Linked DNA regions of Kluyveromyces lactis. The protein of the gene in region 1 interacts with the protein of each later gene in a biochemical or structural test. Links are inferred from orthologs where the notes say so. Each region holds a gene or a part of one and is shown in the gene's direction. Other genes may lie near its edges.

Region 1 (4,014 bases):
AAGTACTATATAGGGTTCTTTTTACCTGCCTATTCAAGTCTGTAGCGCTCTAAAATGGGCTATATCAAATTACTTTGGTTGTGGTCCGTCTTAACCTTAAATTTCTTATCGTAAATATAAAACAAAGGAAATTCTAAAGTAGATATATTACCGACACCAGTAATATAGAACTCTCTCGACCGTTTAGGATGTTTCTTTTTTATTAGTTTTCTTTAGGCGCTGATCAGGACAGTGCCTCTTCTCTTACTAAAAAATAGATCAGCTTTTTCTACCGAATGCTTGAAGATTTGATTTTTCAAGAATCCAAGACATTCAACAGATATTAACCTGTAAAGGGCAGAAGTGAAAATGAAAATAGAACAACCGTAAATTTTCAAAATTGCCCCCAAAAAAAAAAAAGTCTCACGTGATCTAATATTCGGGTAAGGTAATTATTTGCTTTTTCATTAGATACTTACTTAGGAAAATGTCCTTTTAAAGAAATAAGGGTTTTTGGCACTTACCGCATTGAGTGTTTTGTTATTGTTTACATTTTGTTCATTTCCGTTGTACAGATTTGGTTAATGTCGAAAAAAATTCAATAATGTAAATAGTCGGTTTTGTGTTTTCAAAGTTGACAAAACTAGTAATTTGTCGGTTTGAATAAATTTGAAGTTACAGTAAATTGCGGTAGCTCATTGTCATTGATATTACTATTTGGGTATCCTTGTATACTGGTTTGGCTTTTATATCAGCTTAAAAGTACTGGGTTTGGTATAATATACTATTATATTGGAAGGGAAAAAAGTCAGATTCTAATATTATACAGTCTTTCTTTACATACTTCCTAAGAGCATACTTGGCATAAGAGAGGGCGGGAACTCAGTCCTTTAATTGTTACCATCTTACCTGAGACGTATCAAGTGCTTATAACAAGGGTTCTTTTGATATTAGAAGCATTTTTTTACTGCGACTGCCATAATTCAGTTGAAAGTTCGATTATTCTTAGGAATACTTACATCACTGATATTAGTTTACAAACTTGCAGGTGAAAGGAAGACTTACAGTGAGCGGAAACATCATTTAACAGTCAGAATCTTGGTTGTTGTACTCATTCTGCTGTTGTTAACCTAAATCGCTTCAGTTTTTCAACGGTGCCAGTGCTTTGACGTCGTAGATTCATTTTTTTTGATCGAGAGCCACAAAACCGTTAATTGCAAGGTATTTATTGGACGGGCCAAGGAAATACACGCAAGAAAGAAATTAGTTACTGGAGGTTGATAAGTGTAGACTATTTATCACACATTGCAGTGATATTTCTTGTATACTGGTTCGACAAGGGTGTTTGACATAACAAAAGCTCGCAGGAGTATCATTCCATCAAAGAGCTACAAAATAATCAGACATCATGTCTGCACCACCACTTCAAATCATCAACGATAAACAGCTAAATGCTCGATCGAATAATATTCATACACCGATCAAGGCTAAAAGGGTTGTTACTGAGCTGCATCATATAGATAGACTTACTACGAATGGTAAACCCACCAATAATAATAATAACAATAATAATAATAATATCAATCGTCAGCAGCCGCCTCAGAAAAAGAAGAAGGAAAAACTCTCTTCTTTATGCAAAACACCTCCATCGTTGATCAAGACTAGAGGACGGGACTACCACAGAGGACATTTCTTAGGTGAGGGAGGATTTGCTCGTTGTTTCCAAATGAAGGATGACAAGGGAAAAGTATTTGCTGCGAAGACAGTTGCTAAACTGTCTATCAAATCTGAAAAGACAAGAAGGAAATTACTATCAGAAATTCAGATCCACAAATCTATGAAACATCCCAATATCGTTCAATTTACAGACTGTTTCGAAGATGATACTAACGTTTATATCTTATTAGAGATCTGTCCAAACGGATCTGTTATGGAATTATTAAGACAAAGAAAACATTTGACGGAACCTGAAGTAAGATTCTGTATGATCCAAATCATTGGTGCCATAAGATATATGCACAGTAGAAGAGTTATTCATAGAGACTTGAAACTTGGAAATATTTTCTTCGATAAAGAGTACAACTTAAAAATCGGTGATTTCGGTCTTGCTGCTGTCTTGGCAAATGATAAAGAGCGTAAATATACCATTTGTGGTACACCTAACTATATTGCTCCAGAAGTGCTCACCGGAAAGCACACTGGTCACTCATATGAGGTTGATATTTGGTCAATTGGTGTGATGCTCTATGCATTGCTATTCGGTAAACCACCATTCCAGGCAAAAGAAGTTGAAACAATCTATGAAAGAATTAAGTGTAGAGATTTCATTTTCCCAGCTGACAAACCGGTATCCTCAGATGCTAAAAACTTGATTTCACATCTCTTACAGTTAAATCCAGCCGCCAGACCATCGTTATATGAAATAACTGATAACGTATGGTTCAGAAATACTTTCCCTTCAAGATTACCGTCTACAATAACCAAGGAGATTCCAAATTTCGATCACCTCAGTTTCAGCGAGTCATTGATTAACTTGAAACAATGTATGCTAAACTCAGGGTTACTTAAGAGCTCACAAACTCATTCTTATGATGGTAGTAAGAATCCAATTGAGTTAGTGAGAACAGAAATAGAAGAAGAAAGAAACAGAGCTGTTTTACCACAATCCTTGTCACCAGGCGGAACCAAAAATAAATATAAAGAAGTTATCGATCTTGATGGCCACAGAAAATTTAACGAGATGGCATATCAAAATCGACTGAAAAAAGCCGGAGAGAATCTATTCTTCAAGCCTGAGTTGGTGGCAACTTCAACTAACATGATTAAATCCGAAATGTCGCTGAAAATACTTGCAAGTGAATGCCACATGACACTACGAGGGATCAAGAGTGCCGAAATAGATAAGAGGCAATCAAACTATCCTTCTCCAGACTCCACCGTACAAGACCCAATCGTGGTCACAAAATGGGTAGACTATTCGAACAAACATGGATTTGCATACCAGTTATCAACTGACGATATCGGGGTGTTATTCAACAACGGAACCACAGTATTAAAGCTAGCAGATGCGGAAGAATTCTGGTATATTAACTATGATACTAAGGAAGGATGGGTTGCAAGCCATTATAAATTAGAATCTAAACCTATTGAATTAACAAGACACCTTGAAGTGGTCGATTTTTTCTCAAATTACATGAACTCCAATTTGAGTAGAATTTCTACGCTGGTCCGTGAAACTTATCATAAAGATGATGTGTTCTTGAGAAGATACACCCGTTATAAACAGTTTGTTATGTTTGAGTTGAGTGATGGTACTTTCCAATTCAACTTCAAGGATCACAATAAATTTGCATTGTCACATGGAGGTAAATTCTTAACATTTATTTCATCTGATCGTAAAACGATAACGTTACTGCTTTCGAGTGTTCTAATAGATGGATGTGTACCAGGATTCCCTTCTATTGATATATTCGAGAAACTAGAACTAATGAAGGAGGGCTTGAGAGATAAAGCAAGTGTTCTAACAATACATTAGGTAGGGATGTCATTGTGATAATATGCAATTTGCATTTGAATGTCTTCATCTGGTTGTACAAGCCAGCATGTATGGCTACGTCCATCAAGCGCCTTTATGTATTTTTTTCGCATTCCTGCATCCAACGATTTATACCAAATGATACCAGCTATTCCTGATCGTTGTGTTCCCCCGATTGCAACTTCTAAAACTGCCATCCATTCTGTATCAAAATATCTTCACCTGTCAGATTTCATTGTTTCATTAGTTAATTTTGAATCTGTGATGAAATAAGCCTGGGGCTGCCAGAATAAATTTGTTTAATTTAACATAAATTAATAATTGAATCTTAACATGATCCCTCACCAGAAAAACTGTATCTTAAAAGTAACAACAAATGTATACAAGTTAGAAAGATGTGAAGATATCAAAATTCGAATATCTTGTTCCTTCCAAGGTTTTTTTATTGCAAACAAGGTCACTATTCTGTACTGATAATACCCAAAAAACCCAAAAGAAAT
Region 2 (4,071 bases), on another chromosome or scaffold:
CCAACAATGGGTTGCAAAACGCTGCGAAGTTCTTGGAACCAATCCACGAGAAGTACCCTTGGTTATCTCATGGTGATTTATATAGTTTGGCTGGCGTTACGGCGATTCAAGAGATGCAAGGTCCCACAATTCCTTGGAGATCTGGTCGTGTGGACCAACCTGAGGATACTACTCCAGAAAACGGTAGATTACCTGATGCTTCTAAAGATGCGAAATACGTGAGATGCTTCTTCCACAGACTAAACTTCGAAGATAGACAAGTAGTTGCATTGTTGGGTGCGCATGCTTTGGGTAAGACACATTTGAAGAACTCTGGCTTCGAAGGCCCATGGGGTGCTGCCACCAATATCTTCACCAATGAATTCTACAACAACCTGCTAAACGAAAAATGGGACCTCATCACTAACGATGCCGGTAACAAACAATACGTCAACGATAAGGGCTGGATGATGTTACCAACAGATATGGCCTTGGTACAGGATCCGAAATACTTGCCTATCGTGAAAGAATTTGCAAACGACCAAGACACATTCTTTAAAGAATTCACCAAGGCCTTTGTAGTATTACTTGAAAACGGTATTGATTTCCCTCAAGAAAACAAACCTATAAAATTCAAGACCCTTGATGCCCAAGACTTATAAGTTTCTACTCCAAGAATCAAGCAAAACACACACATAAACACACACAAAACACTGCAGCATCAGGCCGTCATATCATAAAGTGCCTGCTATTTATTATTTATGTTAGTTCTTATATACGTTGTGAACTATCATAACTGTCTATTTATTCAAATCGGATAAGAAAAAACACGACGATATGCAAGTTTCTGAACAGACGCACATTCGATAGAAACAGTGATCCCCACTGAAACATAGAAATTCTGCCCTTCCACTCATATAATAGTCCTGCCAGGCTCATTCTTGCCAAGTGTGTTATGTTAGGGAATGGCCCGTCTTTGCAGTTGCCTAACGATTGCCACGAAAATCATCAACACGCGAAAAAAAACGAAAAACATAGAAACAGAACGACGTGTTGAGAAGATCAAAAATCGATGAAGTAAACACACAGGTGAAAACAAAAAAAAAGAGATCTAGAGGAACCAACCTCAACACTTTAACCATCACAGTTCTACCATCAACTAGATTCGTTCTATTGGATCCTTCCAATAGTTGACAAAAGTCTATTGTTTGTTGTTTTAAGACAGCTTTCCTGGTTGTCTGTTAATTCTGTACCAGGTTCTGTTTTGACAGTTCAGAACAAGGACAACGAGAACCCACCCGCCAAGGGGCCATAATTTGGGTGTTTTTGTTTCAGTAAATAGTTACTCGACGGTGTGACAAAAAGTAATCACTGAAGAATAAAGTACTCATCGAAGGGGATCATCAAAAGCACGACATAAACAATGCCATCGAAACGGAAAAACTCACTGCAGCCAAACTTTGGGCGCGTAACTGTCAACACTGCACTTTCACCTCGGGTAGAAGTTTACCAAGACATAAATGAAGAAGAGACTGACCATGCATACCAAAGTGATGTCGATCTTGATACGGATATGGACCTGGACGTTGAGTTTCATTACTATGACCAGCTTTCGCACTTCAGTAACAATTCCAATAATCTCAAGTTTTACTCGGAACCTCTGAGTTCAAGATCTAATTCTAATGACACTCCGTTGGGTCTTACGAGAAGTGTTGGTGTTCTCAATCTTTCATTGGAGACTGAAACGCCTGATGTGAAAGATCAAAAGTTTAATGAGGAAAATCAGTCCCATATCGACAGCAGAGTACCACAGCTTCAAAGGCCCCTCATCACTACAAGTGCCTCCAATTCAGCATCTAATAGTTTAAAGAGAACTGTGAGCAAGACTGGATTCAATATATCCTCTCCATTTTCCAAGAACAATGCTGCATATTTAAAGAGTTGGCATAGTACGAATGCTGCAACATCTAGTGATTTGTCCTCCACTAAGACTACAGGAAAAAGTAATAATTCGTTTACAGAAGCAAAACCGGATCCTGTAGCTTTTCAGTCATCTGGCCTTATTTCCAAAATGAAACAAACAATTCTACCCAAGAAGTTGACAATACCAGATACGCCTGTGAAGAAGTCTCCGCTGGTTTCGAGACATTCTGACCAAGAACTTTTGGACACACCAATATTAGAGCATTCATCTATCATGTCAGCACAAAATCAGACGACATTTCCTACGATGTATGATTCCCAACTTTTCAAATCTCCCCCGATGATAAATACCGTGTTACCTTCATCAGAAAACTCTCCTACCAGTTCCTCTAATCCAAGATCTAAAAAGAGAACTAAAATTGTAAAGAACACAGAATTGACCTCAATGTTGAGACAAATCACGGACGATTTGTACGGACACGATCAAGAAAGTTCAATCTTTTCACCGTCACCCTCAAAGACAAATCTTCAAACTCCAACGAAAACATCCTTTGATATTGGTCCTGATTCTCTGGCTATCATGACAAAACTGCGAAACGATCCAACACATCTTCAACCACCTGAGAAGCAAAGATCAATCAATGCAAGTATCATGAAAAACCCTGATTTCCATCTAACGACCAAATTCAGTAATGTATCCATAATGGGAAAAGGTCAGTTTTCTACTGTCTACCAAGTGACTTTCCCAGAAACTGGTTTAAAATACGCCATCAAAAGTGTACGACCAACTAAACATAATTTTACCAATCGAATTCTACAAGAAATCAATATGTTGTCAACAATTCAGGATTCAGTTACAAATGACACAGAAGGTAAGGAATATATCGTAGAATTTATTTCTTCGTGGTCACATAAAGGTTCATTTTATATAATGACAGAATTCTGCGAAAATGGAAATTTAGATGCTTTTATACAAGAGCACGTCATTGCTAAACAACAACGATTGGAAGATTGGAGGATATGGAAGATTATCGTTGAAATCTGTCTAGCTTTGAGATTCATCCATGATTCCTGTTCAATTGTTCATTTAGATTTGAAGCCAGCTAATGTTCTCATAACTTTCGAAGGTAATTTGAAACTTGCTGATTTTGGGATGGCTACAAAGTTGCCAATAGAAGATAAAAGTTTTGAAAACGAGGGTGACCGTGAATATATTGCCCCGGAAATTATACGTGACGGAATATACGATTTCCGTGCTGACATCTTCTCCCTTGGGCTAATGATGATTGAAATCGCTGCTAACGTTATTTTGCCTGATAACGGAAGTGCATGGCATAAATTGAGGTCTGGTGATCTATCTGATGCTGGCAGATTAAGTAGTGCGGAGATCCATTCGAGCTCACTCTTTTCCAATAAAAAAGATCATACGAATATCACTGACATCACAACGCATGAGACAAAAATTCCAGCGTGGGTACCGAAGTTTTTATTAGACGGAATATCGCTGGAAAGGACTATCAGATGGATGATCGAACCGGATTACAGAGATCGTCCATCTGCATCTGATTTACTCCGCACCGAGGAATTAGAATATGTAGAACTAACAAGAAAGACAGGTGCAGTTATTCATGAGGATGACTACGGCCCAAAACCAGAATTCTTCTCCTAATTCACTTCAAGAAAATATAGAACATGTTATGATATTCAGCTTTACATAAACCAGCTTTACATAAACCAGTTTACGTCTGTTCTTTCTCTATAATGCCCTAATACTGACATAATAACAGCTCCGTTCATTTTCCTTTTACTTTTACTGGTTTTTTAATTTTTTGACATAAAAAATATACATGAGGAACATGTATATTAAACAGATATTCAGAGACTTTATGAGAAATTACAACGAGAGAGATGCAGTGGTGTGCAACGTTTGAACAAAAACGAACACCAGGTGGGGATAACGACGTGAGGTCACGTTAGAGGATGCACGTACTTGTGCATACTTATAGGTTAACACCCACAATTCTTATATAATGAACTCGCGTTTTGGATCAATAATATGATGAGTTATCAAACACTCTTTAAGCTAGATAGTATCTGAAATTATAATGATTTTAGTGTATTTGAACATTTTTAATACCTCTGATATTTTTCCAAAACTTGAATTATCTA
Region 3 (3,536 bases), on another chromosome or scaffold:
ATTCTGAATCTCATTCTCGGGAAGCTCAGGGATATTGAAAAATGGCTGTTTTATTTGTGATTCATATGTCCATATTTTGTTCACCTTCTCCTGGTTAGAAATAAATGTGGTATCCAAATGGATGCTTGATTCCCTATTAGCAAACTCTGGGTGATATTCCAAGAATTCCTTAAAGCTGGTGTAGTATCTTGCATATTGATGCAAAGGTTGCTGCATGACTTGTTTGTACACCTCAAATACGTTTTCCCAGTTCTGTAGTCTTGTTTCATATGCAATGTGCTTATCCCAAATATCGTGCGAGAGGAAATGAGATCCCACGAGGGATTCGCATTTCCTGAACTGGTTTCGTATCAGTTCACTATCATTCTGATTATGTGTTAGATAAACGTTCAACATATCAATCCAAAGATCTATCGACGTAGGGAACGAATGTAAAGATGCCTTTAAAGTAGAAATAGACCCTTCTAATCCATCTAGCTGATATTTCACCGCAACGTATCGTTTCCAGTAACCAAAAAATAACGGATACCTTCCCAATAACTCATCAAAAACTTTATATATATTGCTCTTCACATGTTCATTGGGATTATTGTATTTCTGTACCAATGCTTCTGTACCAACCACCAGTTTGTCGATAGTAGTTATATCGTTCCAGTCAACAGAATTATAACTCTGCACCCATTCATCGTTATTCTTCAGAAAAGTTTGGTCTAATCCTTCAAACATTTCATAAAATCCCTAGTTTCCTTCTTAAATTTGATATGCAAACCCCTGCTGCCGACTTCACACTCAAAACGGCTCACGGATAGCAGCTAAAGGCTCTTGTTCTGTTTGGTGGCATCATGCATCTTTAACAGAGATTTATCTTAAAGAATTACAATAATACGGTTCTTTGCAATTTTGAATCATTTTGGAAGCATGAAAGAAAAACAAACAGAGATAAACGCGCCTAAATGAGTGTTTAAAAGGTAATTATTAACTTAGTCGAATTCTGGGAATCTCAGTGTTTTATAGGAGTGCTCGAAATGCAGAATTGGCGTCTCAACAGCGGTTTAAACAGCAATTAATATAGTATCACGTCTCACGAATATGATTATTTTGTTTAAGGTTAATAGATACATCAATGACGGAAGCATTAAAGGTATGTTCGAGATGTAAACAAAGGAATAAACAAGGGAAAAGACCAGGGACAATCTTCGATTATCGATGTCTATACGTCCAGTTGTACTGGATGATGTCGGAGAAACATCATTTGAAGATGTTGAAAGCACATTTACTTATAAAGATGATATAGAGGTACCGAGATTGGCACCTAATTCAGCTACATCCACAACTACGGAAAATACCACATTCTCTAAGGATAAGAGGTATTCATCACACACGGAACTGGCGAGCGATCTTGATGATGATATGAACTATAACAGTGATTTTGAAGAGTACCAAAATGGTACAGACCTACCTCTTGCTGTGGATAGACGATTTAGGGAAAGTTCGGATCAGGACGAGCTAGCTGATTTGCAAGAACAACTGGAGAAGAAGCTATCATTGAACCTGAGAAATTCTAAGACCGGTGGTGGTAGTGGTACTAGAAATGTGGATCAATATATAAACCATGCGGGACTAGTGCGGCCATCGTTGAAGGATTCGGTACGACAGCGTAGATCGATGGTCGATTTGGCAACCCGTAGTAAAGGTAATATTACAAGCTTGAATTCACAGCAATCGCGTCGAGTACCGAACAGCAGGTCTTATATGAACCTTAGACCCAGTTCTGGTCGAACTCTCAGTTATAAGTCATCTATGCCATCGTTAATGAGGTTCAACCGTCAAGATGTGTTACTTGAGGACGAAGATGACGAAGATGACGATGAAGATGAAGATGATGAACCCTATCCATATGTGCCCAGAGTTAGAAGGAGTTACAGGGATCTTGGACCAAGGTTTGGTGAAAGAACTGATGACGGTAACGTTGTCCAAGACATTGCTGTTGAGGCTACAGAAATGGCTAATAATGGAGACGACGATGACGATAATTTCGGTAATGATTTTGAAGGAATTGACGATAACTTCCAGTTCGCTACTAATAACAACAATAACTTTTCAGCATTTGATCCAACATTACGTTTATCACCCTCAGAGTATGATATCGAACATGATGACACTTTATTAACACCACAGCTGCATAAGAAGCATTATGCGTTCGACGCTCCGTTGGATTCGTATAGGGAAGCTCGTCAACAACGGGGTACGGCAAAACAGGCCGCTGCTGCTGCTGCTGTTAACAGACGTAATTCTACAAGAGCTCGTGCTCGTTTAAAGACAATAAGACAAGAAATTGATCTCAACACGCCGTTGAAAAGAGGTAAGATGAAATACAACCCAAGGGAGAAACGATGGGATGGTAATGAGGATATTTTAAGCAGTTTCGATAACATTGAAAATGTCGATCGGAAAGCGTTTATCATCAAGAACAAAAGGTCAAAGTCTCCGTTGAAGACTTCGTCCTCTACTCAAATAGCGGCATCAGGGACGAATGCGGCCTCCTCAAATTCTCAGCATGGGAAGGTCGTGGGAAAAATGAGATTTGATGAAAAGAACCTAAGATGGCTACGAGTTGATGGTACTGAAGAAGATCCGTTTCATGGTATCACAGACTTGATGCCAAGATCTCAATCTTCACCTACCAAGAACGTCAAATTCCAATCACAAGGACATTCTGGTAACATTCTTCGATCACAGTCTCAACTGCCGTTCGGAAGAGATGAGCATGGAAATAGATTTATCTCTTCAGAATCCACACGATTCCACTCTTTGACTACAAACTCAACCACAGATCCTACGTACCAAATTACAAGCAAACAATTAGAGAAGTTTTACCATGAAGAGAATAAATGGAGCAGGAAGGTAGGTGGATGGTTCATTCTTGGTGATAAATCTAGAGACACTGGTTCCGCAGACCAGTCACATACCAGTTTAAATGACAAATCATACATGTACGAAATCAGGAATATGGTTATCTCATCAGCGCGTAACTGATTCTGAATCAGTGTCCTGACATGTGTCACCTACTATAGCATTTAATTTATTCAGAGACAATAACTATACATATAAAAAATCATCTTTTATGATAGAACGGAATAATCTCTCTAACATAACATCTAGGTCATTCTATGTTACAAAGCCTATCGCACTACATATTCGGCACTGATTTCCTTAATATAGTCCCTTTAAAACCATCGGTTTTTGTTCAGAATTCGATTATAGATCACGGTCAAAGAATCTTTTTATAGGAAATCAACATTTCCTTATATAACAACATTAGTTTTAAGATGAAACACGAAAGTAAATAACAACAGTTGGAGGTTTAGAATAGTCTATTTGGTACTTAAGAGACATTATATTGGTGGTATCATTGTATCCCATATCAGAATCAATTTTGGAGCTCCCAATCAGTATCTTTTTGTTTTATCTATGGTATATGATTCACTTTGAGATTATTTATAGATACTTGCAAAGACTGATCTGTTTAGTCGAAT
Region 4 (4,001 bases), on another chromosome or scaffold:
TGGTTATAGCTGTATTCCAGCCGGGATCTGAAATGTCAGTAGAAAAGGTTCTGCAGCGTTTTTTCGTTTATACCGCAGATAAGAAGGGCTTTATTCGATGCGATACTGTGTATCCGATATACATTAGAATTTACATGACGGAGTTCATTGAATCCTCAAGTTTTTCTACGCATAGAAGTACTACACCAATGTAAATGCAGTAGAAATATTGTCGAGAATCCCAATTATATTACTGTCGTACTACAGCGCATCTTTTCTTGATAGCATCAGTTATCGATCTTTCTTTGCAGCAAACAACGTGCGAGGAATCTAACATCAGTTTTCATACTTTTTATACCGTTTATGTTTTTTTTTTCGGTTTTCTTAAGGCTTTACACATTGTGGCATGAAGTCAGAAGAAAAGTAATACTGTTTCGAAACGACAGACGCCAGATGTCACACTTTGTTTTTGCCGTCCAATTTCCTACTTTTTATAGGTGTATATGTATGTCTGCTAAATGCAATTGTATCATTTATCTATATAGTTTTCTCTTTGTGAAAGCGCTCCGCAAATGCAGAAAGTGCATTTGAGAAAAACATGAAAACAATAATAAAAACAAGATTAAATTCGAGAATGAAAACAAACGCCCAATTGAAAGAAGCTCTGCTAATTGTTGAAGTATTATGAGTTTACAAGAAGTGAATTCAGTTACAGATAACTGTAGAATACCATTCGTTTTCTAAAAGCTTACAAAAGCTATAGGCAATTTCTTTGTTCGGTTCTACGAGCTATTGATTGATAGCTCTCAAATATTGGCGTTGAATCCTTAGCTGATTAAGTTTTTATTTAGCATTTTGTGCTTCATCGACTAGCAACAAACAAGATTTTTTGAAGAGATCTTTGCGCAAGTAAAAGTTGACAAAGGTGAGACAGGTTTACCCTCTCGCGTTATTTTACCTACCGGAACTCCTAAAGATCAAATCTCTAGATTTCAGTGCTCTATATCTAAAGTTGAGTGTCCAATCGAATTTGTTGCAATCGTTCTTTTATTCCCACGTCATTGCTTGTACAAGCTTCGCGTACCATTGTAAGGCTTACATTTCTCTGGCGAGAATCAGAACACCCGTAAATAAAACAAACTAAGTGGGGAACACCTTACTGCGCAGTCTGTAAGAGTTCACTGATCAACATCTTCTCATTTCATCTCTCAAATTGATCGATATGGATTTAGCTGAGAGTTTAGAAAACTTTCATATTACGAGTCCTGAGAAGGTCAATACTGTAAAGCGATCAAACGGAAATTTCGAAGATTTCATCAACAGTGATGATTTCGAAGATCAAAACGAACAACCTGGTATAGCAATCGAACGTCCGACGCTTGAGAAAGTGCAACTTAAAAAGACTAAAAAAGCTGAACTTAAACCATATAAAGAAAATGAAAACCCATTGCCACAGCAATTTGGTTCTTTCCTTAGCAAAATGGACGATTGGTCAGTCAACTACGGTACAGTAAAAGCTTTGAAGGAGGATTCGAAAACAAATGGGACCATGGCGCAAAGGTTAAATAACTTGGATGAAGGAAACGATGCTCCACAGGCTCAGTGGAAAAATTATTTACTCAAACCAAAGCAAAAGAGTGACCAATCTGCGAAAGATGTATCGGATTTAATTGTGACAGCATCATTAAGTGATCTTTCTTTAATTCCTGCAGATACATTCAAGAAGAAGGAAAGGAACGATCTCAGTAGTCTAAGTCATGAAACTGATCCTGCACGAGAAGCAAAATCAGTCTTTAAAAATGTTCTGAAAAACCAAAGATCCAATTATTTCAGGGACAATGATACCCTAACCACTCAGAATACTAAGAATTCAAATGGTGCCAACCAGCCATATCAGACAAGGAACTACATAAATTCAGACTTCGAGTCCGGATCCCGTCCCGTGTCTGGATCAGAAGATTTTGAATCGGGTTCTGATTCAAGTTCGGATTCTCTATCCGAACTGAACCCATCGAATCTCAACTCACCTAGTCCTAAGCCTAGAATTGTAACGAACACCAGAAGGTTACCTCTGATAACTCCAGAAGATGCTGGGTTAGTATTTGATCATGAAACTGGACTATGGGATAAACAACGTATGATAGCCGCTGCTGATTCCAATATATCGGAAAACAGTACCGGCTCATTTGTTATGGAGGAAGATTCGACAACAACTAATTCGAATTCGAATTCTCATTCTAGTCTAAAACCCATTTCAGATTCATTCAAACGAGACCCTACCTTGGACAATTGTATAGATACTCAAATTCCGGTCATTGCAACGGCCAATAGTGAAATTGAAAGTGGGTTAGATGATGAATATTTAGGAAGCAACGTAACATTAAACACTGTTACTGATGACACCCCATTGAGTACACCCAAATTCAATAGAAACTTTTATCAAAAAGATACGGATAAGCCAATGACTCGTTATCCTTCTTCATCACTGCACAAAGAACTGTCGAACATTCATTCTCAGGGCACCGCCAATATTGCTGATATAACTAGCATTAGCCGGATGGATACTTCCTACGATCTTACCAAGAGAGAAATTGTATCGAGATTATTAGAGATTGAACCCAACCCAACCAATTGGCAGACTCTGTACGAAGTAGATCTATCTGATCAAGCAATAAAGGACTCCTGTACTGGTATTGATGAATTATTGCCGAATTTAATCAACCTCGATGTGTCTAACAATGAGTTGATATCGTTACAAGGCATACCTAATCATATACAAAGTTTGAATATTTCTAATAACAAGCTAAGATCGCAACTTCTACAATTTCAAGACTTACCGCATGTCGAACATTTGGATCTTTCAGACAACAACCTAAGTGCATTGCAAGATCTTAGGTTCACTGCTCCGTTGTCACATCTACACTACGTGGACGTTTCCAATTGCGGTATTGTATCTTTGATGGGCCTTCCAAAATTCGCCAAAGTTGATACGATTATCGCCAAGGATAACAAATTGATAGGTTCCATAGACTTCAAGCAATTGTGCGAAACTTCTCCTATACCGTGGCAACATGTGACAAAACTTGATTTGTCAAATAATAGGATCACAAATCTCAAAAACCTACATTATTTGGTCAGTTTGAGAGTGTTAATATTAGATGGTAATTCGATTGAACAATTGCATAGTGGCTCATATCATCAAGGTTCTAGGAGTCGTGTTGGAAAGAAGATTGAAGTAGGAAACCCCGAATTGCGTTACCTAAGTATCAAAGATGGCGGTGTCCCTGTACACTCCTTTTCCGGGTTTCCTAACCTACGAATCTTACGAATTACTGTGGCGATGGACAGCATCAATATTGAAGAGAATGCAATCGATTCACATATGACAAATAACAATAATAGCGATATAGAGAGTCCTAACTACAATGCATCGTTGATACCATTATCCGAACGATTCCCCATGTCATTCCCATTGGAGCAACTGGAAATCCTTGGGATGCCTCATTCAAGTCCGCGTCAACCATCAAAGCAAATGTTTGGAACTTCCACTAATGGTAGAAAGCAAAAGCTTGGTTCCGATCCAAACTCATCATCAGCATGGGAAGGTTTCGAGTTCCCACCACAGCTTCGTCGGGTAACCCTACGCTCATTAGGACTCACAAGAGTCCCACAAACGCTCACGAATAACACGGGTCTAAGCTCATTAGATATGCAAGGTAATAACATCTACTCCGCACAAATATTATTGCCTTCACTCCCGTGTAATTTACTCCGATTAAATATACTACAGAACCCTGTGCTAGAAGAACCTTTGCGTGGTACCGACAAAATAAATACTGGGAGCGGCACTAACCATGATTTGGTGGTGCATCAACGCAGAAACAAGGACTTACTCCGTCTTTTACTCCACTGGTGCCCCGCCCTTGTGGAGTGTGACCTCTGTACGGAGGGGTAAAGGAAATCCAAATGAAAGAAAAAAAAAGAATAGAAAATAGTAAAAAACAACTGAAATCTATCAAAAT
Region 5 (3,708 bases), on another chromosome or scaffold:
GAAAACGACCACGCTGGTATTCCATTGAAGATCTCTCCTCCAGTTGTCGCTTACAGAGAAACTGTTGAAGGTGAATCTTCCCAAACTGCTTTGTCTAAGTCTCCAAACAAGCATAACAGAATCTACTTGAAGGCTCAACCAATCGATGAAGAAGTTTCTTTGGCTATCGAAGGTGGTAAGATCAACCCAAGAGATGATTTCAAGGCCAGAGCTAGAATTATGGCTGATGAATTCGGCTGGGATGTCACTGACGCCAGAAAGATCTGGTGTTTCGGTCCTGACGGTAACGGTCCAAACTTGGTTGTTGACCAAACTAAGGCTGTCCAATACTTGAACGAAATCAAGGACTCCGTTGTTGCTGCTTTCCAATGGGCTACCAAGGAGGGTCCAATCTTCGGTGAACAAATGAGATCCGTTAGAGTTAACATCTTGGATGTTACCTTGCATGCTGATGCCATTCACAGAGGTGGTGGTCAAATCATCCCAACCATGAGAAGGGCTACTTACGCCGGTTTCTTGTTGGCTGAACCAAAGATTCAAGAACCAGTCTTCTTGGTCGAAATTCAATGTCCAGAACAAGCTATTGGTGGTATCTACTCCGTCTTGAACAAGAAGAGAGGTCAAGTCGTCTCTGAAGAACAAAGACCAGGTACTCCATTGTTCACCGTCAAGGCTTACTTGCCAATTAACGAATCTTTCGGTTTCACTGGTGAATTGAGACAAGCTACCGGTGGTCAAGCTTTCCCACAGATGGTGTTCGATCACTGGGCCACTCTAGGTACTGACCCATTGGACCCATCCACCAAGGCTGGTGAAATTGTCTTGGCTGCTAGAAAGAGACAAGGTATGAAGGAAGAAGTTCCAGGCTGGCAAGAATACTACGATAAGTTGTAATCAAGCTCTTATTGTAGTCTCTCGTTCTCCTTCAATGGAATTTTATATTTGTACAAATACACTCATACCTTATTTTGTATAGCTCCTATCTTAGAAGTCTTTTAATCAGTAAGTATACTTTAATGCAATATACTAACATATAAACAAAAAAATAAGAACACGTAGTCCATTTCTATTTTCAAAATGGAGAACGATGGGAAGCATTTCCATTTCTTTTCATCGTGAAATTCGATTCTTTCCCCTTTTCTAACCCATCTGATGTGCTCGGCGTAGTTATGAGCTTGATCTAATTTCTTTTATATTTTTGTTTACATTCACGTAAAGATCAAGAAATTATATCATGGAAGATGAAAAACCTAATCATCGCTGTGCCTGATAGAAGAAATACATAATAGAGGTGATTCCAGGCTGTTCTTACGAGAGCCATTCATAGGGTGTCACATACTTTTGATATCTCCCTCAGTTACAAATGTCCATTCCTAGTGATGCGAAACAGCTTTATGCTGAATTCCTTCAGCAAGAGGTAAACCAGAGTACATCAGCTCATCAAGAAAAGTTAGTGATGGTCTTGAACAGAGCATTGTTTGCCTTAAAGAATTATCCCGACCCTATATATCATCCTAAAGATCTCCTTAAAGTTAAAGGTATTGGACAGACTACTATGAATAAATTATCGAAGCGCCTAAAAACGTATTGCGAAGAGAATGGATATTCTTTCCCTGAGGAGTCAAGCTCAACGGATAACACACAGTCCACTCAGAATGACAGCAACCCCAGTAATACCCAGAAAACAAGAGTACGAACCTTAGAGCCAGAGGAAAATGAAAGCCAGGGTACTAGGAAACGTCGCAAGAAAAAATACATTCCCCGGAATAGAAGCGGCGGTTATGGCATTTTGCTAGGCCTATTAGAATTGGGATGTGATAAGGATGGGACGGCTTGCACACGTAGACAACTTATAGCTGTTGCATCAAAATATTGTGATCAGAGTTACGAGAAAAATCCGTCCACCAAAGAGTTTTATAGCGCCTGGAGCGCCATCAAATCATTGAAAACTAATGATTTAGTAATAGAACAAGGAAGGCCATCTCAATTCAGCCTAACGGAAGCAGGCACTATATTAGCAGATAGTTTGAAGACAGCCAACAATATTGAGTTTGATGTGTCAAGTGTATACGAGAGGCGACTTAACAGGGGCAACACTCAGAATTCTTTTACAAATGATGAACATGATCATACGGTGAACTTTAGCGGACTTATGAATCACGCAAATATGTCTATCAACGAAAGTGCTAATTCTTCAAGATTGTTTCTTGATGCAACGGCAAACTCCAGCAGAATTGAGCAGAATGAAGAACCTGAGGTTTCGGCAGAAATTTCAACACCTATACCAAAGCAAAAGGTATCAAAAGGTCGTTGGAAAGGCGTAAAATACGAGCTCTGGAAACCAGACAGTTACGACATAATTTTACATATTGATCATCGTGAAGTGAGATCGAAAGAAGATAGAGGGTTTTTTGCGAGGAAGCTGTTGCAACGGGGGATAGAAACTGAATCCTCGAGTCTCACGGTGGGCGACATGATATGGCTTGCAAAGCATAAACAATCAGGGCAACAGTGCGCGTTAGATTTCATTGTGGAACGTAAACGATTAGATGATTTGGTTATTAGTATAAGAGACAACAGGTTTTCGGAGCAGAAGAACAGGCTACAGAAGACAGGATGCAAGCACATATTTTACCTCGTGGAAGAGACTACTGGTTATAATGTCAGTGACAGTGCTGATATGATGAAAACGAGTATTTGGACTACAGTAATTTATAATGATTTCCATATTAAACGAACCAGGAATGCTGACACAACCGTGCAATGGCTCACTGATATGTCGTTAATCATCAAAGAGCTTTATTCAAGAAAGTCTCTTGTTGTAATAAACCATGATCATATCACTAATCAGAGCATATACTTAACCTCATTGAAGATGTTCCGAACAGAGTTCGAAAGAAATAAAGAAATTGAATGTTGTCATAACTATGAATCAATGCAATCAGCCATGGTAAAAACAAACCTTATGACGGTAAAGGAACTTTATCTTCGCGCTCTTATGTCAGTTAAAGGTATCTCACTGGAAAAAGCACTAATGATTCAATCCAGATATCCAACGTTCAAAACTCTACTAAAAGCTTATAGAAGATGTGCAGCAGAAGCAGATGCAAAAACATTGATACAAAATGAACTCAAAGATGCACCAGGTAACAGGAAGATAGGAAAATCACTGTCACATACTTTATGGGAAACTTTTGGTAAACTGTGAACTACAAAAATAATACAATCTCATTATTTAATGATAATTTCTATAAATGAAGTGGACATCCACGCCATTTTCGAACACTTGACCTATTTCTTCAAGTGATAAACCTTTCACCTCCGGGTACCAAATATAAACGAACAGCCAATTGAATATAGTAAATAAGGCAAAGAGTAGCATCGTATTTTCGTTTCCAATCCTATCTGTGATAGTTAAATAAGTCAAAGACAACACAGAGTTAGTCAACCAATTAGTACAGGAAATCATAGATCCGCCCACAGCTCTTCGGTTCAGGGGTAAAAATTCGACACTGCTCCACGGTACTACTCCCATACCAGTAGCGTAAGCACCAACATAAACAATCACAGATACAACCAATAGCGCTAGGTTATTCAATTCGAAACCAACAGAACATAATAACAAACCTACTGTCATAATCCATATAGTCATGAGTAGCAAGGTTCTTTTTCCCATCGTGTCAATCAACTTCATTGCTAGTAAGGTGA
Region 6 (3,017 bases), on another chromosome or scaffold:
AAAGTCAAGTAATCAAGATTTCCGAGTCATGTGACATTTAATAAGGTTCATACAACGGATAGGTTCCCATTACTATCTTGGGTTGCCAGAACAATTTCTTGCTTTACATTCTTCGCTTCTTGTTAAAACTAAATTTCTGTCAAAGGGTACGGTCAGTTTCGTGGAAGAACGGGACTGAGACCAATTCGTGAGCTGTTTTGATATATAAACATTCTGTTTCTGGATCCACCCACTTGTCTTGGATGTTAGTTGCACCCTTACTGTAAATGACGGTGCGGACCTTGAAAGGGCATTTCGCATTATTGAACATCAGGTAAATTAAAGACTTATCTTCGGCTATGTTCGTCATGACAATGCCATATACTGGGTAAAAAACCTCTTCCGTTTCAGCAGACATATAAGAGCGAACAATATGGTATTTATGATACCCTATGGGTAAAACAACTGTGGTCAATAGGTCAACCTGGCCTGATTGGTTGAACTCATAGGTATTACAGAATCGGCATACAGTTTTCAATTGGTTGTCGTAATTAACCGCTATGAGTTGGAAACCTCGATCCTTTAATACATGTACTTTACTATTTTCAGAATCAATCGTGATGTAGCCCAAATCTTCACGTTTGTCTATGTTGTAAATGTTCAGAGATGCCCTTACTTTGTCGTAAACCAGGAGTGTGGACAGTGACCAAATGGCATAAAATGAATCTATTTGGTACCCAACATCTACCACTAAATCTTGCTCCAAGTTGAGATTCTGCTTTTCGATAGTATATATCTTGATATCCTGTCCGTGATTAACAAGTATAATCAGTCTTGTCTCGTAATTCTCCCATAATAACGACTTCATCGAGTTGACTTCATACTGCAACTTCAACTCATCGTTTTCATAAATGTATAATCGCGAAGCAGTAGCAGCGACATCGTATCTTTTCTCACCAGCAGCTTCTAATGACATCAAACTGGGGATCTGGGTAATTTTTGCGATGAAAATCCCGATCAGTCCACTATTCCCTGACCATCCTTTATCCTTACCTGTTTCGCTATTGTTTGTATATGTGCTTTTAGTTTTTCTTTTGACATATCTAACATCAACAAAAACATCTAAGAAAACCTTTAGAACAGGATGATACTCCAAGTAGAAAAATATTCGGGTACGTTTTGAATGTCACAAAAGCAGAATACTTGATTGTTCGATCATAGCCACTAGTTGACCAACTGTAACATAACTGGACCTTATACGGTCGATAGCAGGTTATTAATCCATTCATCTTTTGCGGAAATATAGTTCTACATTGACAAGGCCAAAACAAAAGTATAGTTATGGGTTCTGATGATACGGGAGGTCTATTCAAATGGACAATTGATGCGCTATTCAACAGAGACACATCTCCATCTACAATGTATGATAAACAACTGCAGCAAGACTCATTCGATGAGGAAATATACTCAAGACCTAGAGCCTCATCTTTCTCGGATCCAGATATTTACTCAAAATATGAATTATTACGAGATGAGGACGAACCTGACTTATTGAGACCTGTTAGCATGAACGGGTTACCTTACGAGAAGCAGGATACAAACACTTTCCACGCAAGAAGAGCAAGAGAGAGGCGAGTTCAAGAAACGCCAAATATTAGACGAGCACCGAATCCCAACGATCCCATAATCTCAAAATTATTTCAAGTCGATGAAGATGATTCACAGTTAAACACTAATGAGATGAGGTCGCAACGAGAAAAATTCAACACTGGACGGTTACCGGGCAAGTTTCCATCTCCAACTAAGCAGTATAATGCTCGTATATCCAACAGGGATGCATTTACTGGAGCTGAAAGAAAAGCGGCATCAACAGCTCCAGCAATACCACCAGTAGCTCCATCAGTGCAAAACTTGGATTACACACCTGAATATGTGAAACTCATGGATAAATTGAGCTTAAACAACAAGGAGCTACGTGATTTAAAGGTAGATGTCAGGGAAAGACAGAAGCACGGAATGGAAAAGGAAACAGAATTGAAAAAGAAGTACCTACAGATACGACAAGAACTTATACAGGAGCTAAAACAGTCCAAGATGATTTATGATAACTATTGCAAGCTATACTATAAGTACAAAGGGGTGAAACGTTCCATCCAACTGCCGACCCAAACACTAGCCTCCAATTCTTCAATGCTAGATAAAATTGCGTCCTTGGAAAAACAAATCGTTGATTTATCAATAGAAAAAGACAGGTTAAAGAAGAAATCAGAAGAACGTATCCTATCCGTAGAACTACAAAAGAAGGAGTTGGAAAACAAATTTGAAGTGGAAAGAATGATATATGAAAGACGGATAAAGGATTTGGAAGAAAAATTGTATGTTCACGAACACCCAATACGACCTGCAACAGACACTAGTCCAGTGTCATCTTCATCATTCATGCCGCATACTCAAGAAACTTCTGACAGCACTGCTTCGCCATATAAAGAATACAACAATACGATAGACACACAATTTCTAAGAAATCTAGTCAAATAACAAGAGAAGAAGCTCAAAATTGTAACAATAAAAAAAGTAATAGTAACGGTAACGTTCTAATTAATGTTTTGTCCAGAAAAATCCCCAGATAAAACCTTATGTATTATTATACTAGTAAGTTTAACTTGGATCTAAGATATTCCGAAACCAAAGAAACTCGAGAAAAAAAGAAGTGTAGGCCAAAAACTACATAATGGCTAGGCTATCCTTCGTTGCACCAGAGTTTCCAGTGCTACCTACTGTTTTTTCATATTGTACTGTATACAGTCTTATTTAACTTTCTACACACGAGTTAGATAATCCTCAACAGAAGTGCATGAGAGATGGAAAGCTTTCTCGCAAATAAGGACACTCTCATAATAGCTACCATAACGAGGTACTGTTCGTGTATCACATCACGGAAACTTTCCTATTATTACCCCACAGCTGAACGCGACAGATCTCTTGTAGTAATTACCTCCGGACCCTCGTGGATAATTCCAGCACACTAAACGCAGAGA
Region 7 (4,226 bases), on another chromosome or scaffold:
TAAACCTAGATTAAGAGTCACCAAGGGTGTCCCAGAGCTATCGAGGGCGTTGAAGTCCCAAGGTTGTAAATTGGCAGTGTTAAGTGGTGGGTTCATCCCGTTTGCTAACTACATTAAGGAAAAGTTAAACTTCGATTTTGCATTGGCTAATACTCTGGGTGTGGAAGTGTCGGATGACGGTACTGAACAATTGAACGGTGAAGCACTCGGCGATATAGTTGACGGAGTGCGCAAGGCCAAGACGTTGGTGGCTCTTGCAGAACAGTACAATTCTCCGATCGAATCCACCGTCATGGTCGGAGATGGTGGTAATGATTTGAACGCAATGGCCGCAGCTGGGTTCGGAATCGCATGGAACGCCAAGCCAAAGGTCCAAGAACAAGCCCCATGTAAGTTAAACAGTGATACAATGATAGACGTCCTATACATCCTGGGGCACACTGAGAAGGAGATAGAAACCATGATCAAAGAATAGAAATGTAAAGAATTTATTCTGATATATATATAGTAAAATGTATATTATAAGCAGTGTACAAAAAATTTTACACGTTAGCAGCAATGGTTTGCTTGATAGCAGCCAAGTTAGCACCTAGGACTCTAGAAATTTCCTTACCGGACTTGAAGAAAACTAGGGTTGGCATAGCACTGACATCGTTGTTCTTTGCAACATCTGGCAACTCATCAACGTCAACCTTCAAGAAGGTAGCTTTACCCTCGTATTCCTTAGCGAACTTTTCCAACATTGGGGCAATCATCTTGCATGGACCACACCAGGTGGCAAAGAAGTCGACGACGACCAACTTGTCGTCAGTCAAAGCCTTTTCGAATTCGGATGCGGAAGTAAGTTGAGCGACCATTATATATGAAATTGGAGGGGATAGTAAAGATAAATTGTACCTTATTTGATGAGGATAGAAAGTTATCAGATTATCCGATAATCAATCGAAGAGACAACTAAATAACCTTTAAATGTATCTTACTTCCTTTATATAATAATGTTGGTTAAATATCGAGTTTTTGACAAATTTTTGCTTGCTAATCAGGAATCGAGAGCTGGAATCAGCTAGAACCCGTCCATTTGTAAGCAGGTGGAAGCGCCAACACTCGTGTAACGGTGTTTTGAATGGCTTGAATTGACTGTATAATGTTCAACCAACACGCATCAGCGCCGATTGAGTGATTGGAGGGGCGTGTACGTGTATAATAGATCCTACCCTCCCATTATTCAGGTTTCTGCAAACCCGATCCAAAGCATATCAACAAAGTCACGTGATATATCACATGACTTGAAATCAATCGTTTCTGTAAACAAAAACAATCAAAATCAACCAGTAAACAAACAAACAGACGAGACAACATGAATAAAATAGACGGTCAGTGAGTCAACACAGGGTGCTGCCAGCTGTATCGCGTGTGTATATCTCCCATGGATAACGCTACGGATGATTCGGCGTCTTTTCAGACTCTGTCACTAGATGAGAGACTTGTTCATAAGCTTTGGAAGGCAAGACAGCATGGATATAATGAGCTAGAAAGCACATTCAATAAACTGTCCGTTGCTAGAGTTGCAGAGAGTGGCGTTAATAAGTATTGGAAGAAACCTGAGATTTTCACGGGGTACGTATTGGATTCCAATGTTGTTGCACAAGAATCTGCCGTTAAGGCCTTGTACAGTTTGTTGAAATTTATGATCGACGTACCCCAGATCAGAGATTTGTGTCAGCCGGGTCAATTGGTTCAGGGCTGGGTTCCAGCTCTGGTGGAGAAAGGTATGACTTCCTCGAAATCAGCGACGAAAGAGGCTTCATTGGCCTGCGTTTCGCTTGTCGTGTCATTGGATGATAATATCGTAAATGCAATCAATTGTCTGACGCCGATTTGGACCAAAAAATTACCGAAGCTGTTGACTGCAGCGTTAATGGTTCATGTAAAGTTGATAGAGCAGTTTGGGTTCGTGAACGTTTCTCAACAGGAGAAGATGCAATCGTTACAGGGTCTAGTGGAAGTTTTACCTAAACTTTGCTCACATGCGGATAAATCTGTGAGGAATGAGTCAATGCAGTTGATTTTACAACTATATACATGGTTTAATAAACCTGTACTTCAAGAGCTTCTATTGGGGAAGTTGAAGCCCATACAACAGAAGGACCTGGATAAACTGTTTGAATCGTACCAGGGCACTATACCGCCTTCTTCAACACCGTCTCAGTTTATATGGGCAGTCCCGGCTCAGAGTGATAACAATTCAACTGATTTACCCTTGGATCATGACGGAGATCTAGCAATGGCAGGTAATAACGGCCAGTCTGCCGCTGCTCTGGATAACCAATCAATCGATCCATATGATATGTTCCCCGTACAAACTATATTAGATAAGCTACCGAATAATTTCTATCAGAGTTTGGCGTCTAGCAAATGGAAGGATAGAGTGGAAGCTTTAGAAGAGTTCCACGATCAGACTTTAACCAAGGTTAAAAAATTGTCAGCATCAAATGAAGATCATTCTGAAATCATTCACAAATTTTGCTCGACTATCACTTCCGATGCAAACCTACAAGCAGTACAAATATCTACCAGCAGTTTAGATATACTAATATCCGCATTAAGATCAGAATATAACCCATTCGCATTGGAAACTTTAAACGCTCTCCTAACTAGATCAAAGGAGAAAAAACCAAACGTCGCAGATTCTATTTTCAATGCTCTCCTGAACCTTTCAAAGTACTATAAATTAGAGCTATGTCTCGAGTCTGTGTTACAACACATGAAGAACAAAGTACCACAGGTAAAAATTGTATGCTCGAAATTTCTTTTCGAGTTGCTATCCAATTGGACACCGACTGAAACTCTTCATAGAACGTCGGTATTCTCCAATTTGCCAGCGATACTCAATTCTTTGCAGCCCATTGTAAACGACAATCAACAGGCAACAAGAAATGAGGGTTTCAAGTGTATTGCTATCTTAATTAAGATATTCGATGAAAGAGAACTATCAACATATTTGGACAAGCTCGATAACTTGAAAAGGAAGAAGATCCTTGAACTTGTTGATAAAGTGGAGATCAAGGCGGCAACGGTTCCACCTCCACACCAAACCCAACCGCAAACCCAATTAAGATCAGCGGCACCAGTAGTACGATCCCAACCCTTGTCTTCAACGATCCCTTCAAAACGACTGGCCACTTCTCCATTGAAACCGGCACGTAACTCTGCCTTGAATGGCAACACGAAGTCGTCCAGGTTGACTTCAAGGTCTCTAACTACTCATCAAATGATGAACCATACGGATCTGCCTTCCTCAACACAACCCAAATCTAATACCAGTTCCAACACAAGCCTCTCTGGCAATTTCACACCACAGACAAACATATCCAACAGAATGTCACATTTAAACGATGAAGTGAACAAATTAAGACAAGAGAGACAAGAATGGCTAAGGGAGCGCAACGATCTCTTATCCAACTTAAATCAATCCAATTTACAACTTTCCAAAGTAAATAAACTCTTGAACGAGTCTGAGACATACGTTTCCAATTTACAAAGGCAATTGCAGGATTCGAAGGATCAATTGAACGCTAAGAATTTAAAGATCAAGGAGTTAGAGAGTAAACTGACGGGCGGTACTTCCGATACCATGTCAACAGATTCACCCATATCCTCGTCCATTAGCAGAGGAAGATTAACAGCAACTACCTTATCACCTCTGAGATCTACTAAAAATGCTACGACTCCTCAAAGGGTCAGATCGCCTAGTGAAAGTAGCGACGATCTACCTAGACGTGTCAATTCCCTAAACTTGAACAACCATATGTTGCAAGAGGAATCGTGGAAACGAGCTGCAGAAGTTACGAACCAATTAAAGGCACGTATAGAAAGAATGAGGGCCAAATCCAGGTCCGGTTTCAACAATCTCGGCGTAGATTAAGAGAATCCACTATGTACAAAATAGATTCCTGTATAAACGACGAATTGAGCGCAAACTCCGACATGACAACCAGAGAGGGAAGCTTCCAGTCACATGACCTAGAATGCATATATTGTCCCGGGTAATATATAGCAACGTCTTCTCTCTGCTTATCTCTGGTGCAGCCTCCTAGTTTTTCCGAAAAGTTTCTTTTTCTCCAAAATTCTCCGAAAATCGTCAGATATTCCAGATATGCAACTAGAGGGAAGATACACCGTTATATGCATTTCAAAATGCAAATAACGGCAACTAAGCCCATCAC

Evidence for each region.
Region 2: of the proteins of CDC5 (region 1) and SWE1, one has a biochemical effect on the other in vitro, tested with the Saccharomyces cerevisiae proteins (2 studies listed by BioGRID). The link is inferred for Kluyveromyces lactis from reciprocal best matches to the Saccharomyces cerevisiae genes CDC5 and SWE1.
Region 3: of the proteins of CDC5 (region 1) and BFA1, one has a biochemical effect on the other in vitro, tested with the Saccharomyces cerevisiae proteins (7 studies listed by BioGRID). The link is inferred for Kluyveromyces lactis from reciprocal best matches to the Saccharomyces cerevisiae genes CDC5 and BFA1.
Region 4: of the proteins of CDC5 (region 1) and NUD1, one has a biochemical effect on the other in vitro, tested with the Saccharomyces cerevisiae proteins (3 studies listed by BioGRID, with this or other methods). The link is inferred for Kluyveromyces lactis from reciprocal best matches to the Saccharomyces cerevisiae genes CDC5 and NUD1.
Region 5: of the proteins of CDC5 (region 1) and MUS81, one has a biochemical effect on the other in vitro, tested with the Saccharomyces cerevisiae proteins (2 studies listed by BioGRID). The link is inferred for Kluyveromyces lactis from reciprocal best matches to the Saccharomyces cerevisiae genes CDC5 and MUS81.
Region 6: the proteins of CDC5 (region 1) and BBP1 form a complex in vitro, tested with the Saccharomyces cerevisiae proteins (2 studies listed by BioGRID). The link is inferred for Kluyveromyces lactis from reciprocal best matches to the Saccharomyces cerevisiae genes CDC5 and BBP1.
Region 7: the proteins of CDC5 (region 1) and STU2 form a complex in vitro, tested with the Saccharomyces cerevisiae proteins (2 studies listed by BioGRID, with this or other methods). The link is inferred for Kluyveromyces lactis from reciprocal best matches to the Saccharomyces cerevisiae genes CDC5 and STU2.

What each region holds. Positions count from the first base shown.
Region 1 is NC_006039.1:539,022-543,035, forward strand, and holds CDC5 (polo kinase CDC5), read left to right. Parts: upstream 1-1,387; coding exon 1,388-3,514; downstream 3,515-4,014. UniProt on the Saccharomyces cerevisiae protein: Protein kinase required for the cell cycle where it is involved in mitotic exit. A component of the fear (CDC14 early anaphase release) network which promotes CDC14 release from the nucleolus during early anaphase. Phosphorylates SCC1/MCD1 and NET1.
Region 2 is NC_006038.1:658,189-662,259, forward strand, and holds SWE1 (tyrosine protein kinase SWE1), read left to right. Parts: upstream 1-1,402; coding exon 1,403-3,571; downstream 3,572-4,071. Other genes in the region: CCP1 (cytochrome-c peroxidase), read left to right, coding at 1-641. UniProt on the Saccharomyces cerevisiae protein: Protein kinase that acts as a negative regulator of entry into mitosis (G2 to M transition) by phosphorylating and inhibiting the mitosis-promoting cyclin B-bound CDC28 at 'Tyr-19'.
Region 3 is NC_006037.1:714,141-717,676, forward strand, and holds BFA1 (Bfa1p), read left to right. Parts: upstream 1-1,206; coding exon 1,207-3,036; downstream 3,037-3,536. Other genes in the region: PRP39 (Prp39p), read right to left, coding at 1-726. UniProt on the Saccharomyces cerevisiae protein: Part of a checkpoint which monitors spindle integrity and prevents premature exit from mitosis. This cell-cycle arrest depends upon inhibition of the G-protein TEM1 by the BFA1/BUB2 complex.
Region 4 is NC_006042.1:25,572-29,572, forward strand, and holds NUD1 (Nud1p), read left to right. Parts: upstream 1-1,201; coding exon 1,202-3,934; downstream 3,935-4,001. UniProt on the Saccharomyces cerevisiae protein: Involved in astral microtubule organization by binding SCP72 to the outer plaque in a cell-cycle dependent manner. Required for the mitotic exit by facilitating the binding of TEMP1 to CDC15.
Region 5 is NC_006041.1:275,730-279,437, forward strand, and holds MUS81 (Mus81p), read left to right. Parts: upstream 1-1,363; coding exon 1,364-3,208; downstream 3,209-3,708. Other genes in the region: EFT1 (elongation factor 2), read left to right, coding at 1-894; CIN10 (Cin10p), read right to left, coding at 3,236-3,708.
Region 6 is NC_006042.1:629,731-632,747, forward strand, and holds BBP1 (Bbp1p), read left to right. Parts: upstream 1-1,320; coding exon 1,321-2,517; downstream 2,518-3,017. Other genes in the region: KLLA0_F06512g (uncharacterized protein), read right to left, coding at 140-955. UniProt on the Saccharomyces cerevisiae protein: Component of the spindle pole body (SPB) required for insertion of the nascent SPB into the nuclear envelope and for the proper execution of spindle pole body (SPB) duplication. Connects the central plaque of the SPB with the half-bridge.
Region 7 is NC_006041.1:1,460,548-1,464,773, reverse strand, and holds STU2 (Stu2p), read left to right. Parts: upstream 1-1,426; coding exon 1,427-3,925; downstream 3,926-4,226. Other genes in the region: SER2 (phosphoserine phosphatase), read left to right, coding at 1-475; thioredoxin TRX2, read right to left, coding at 543-857.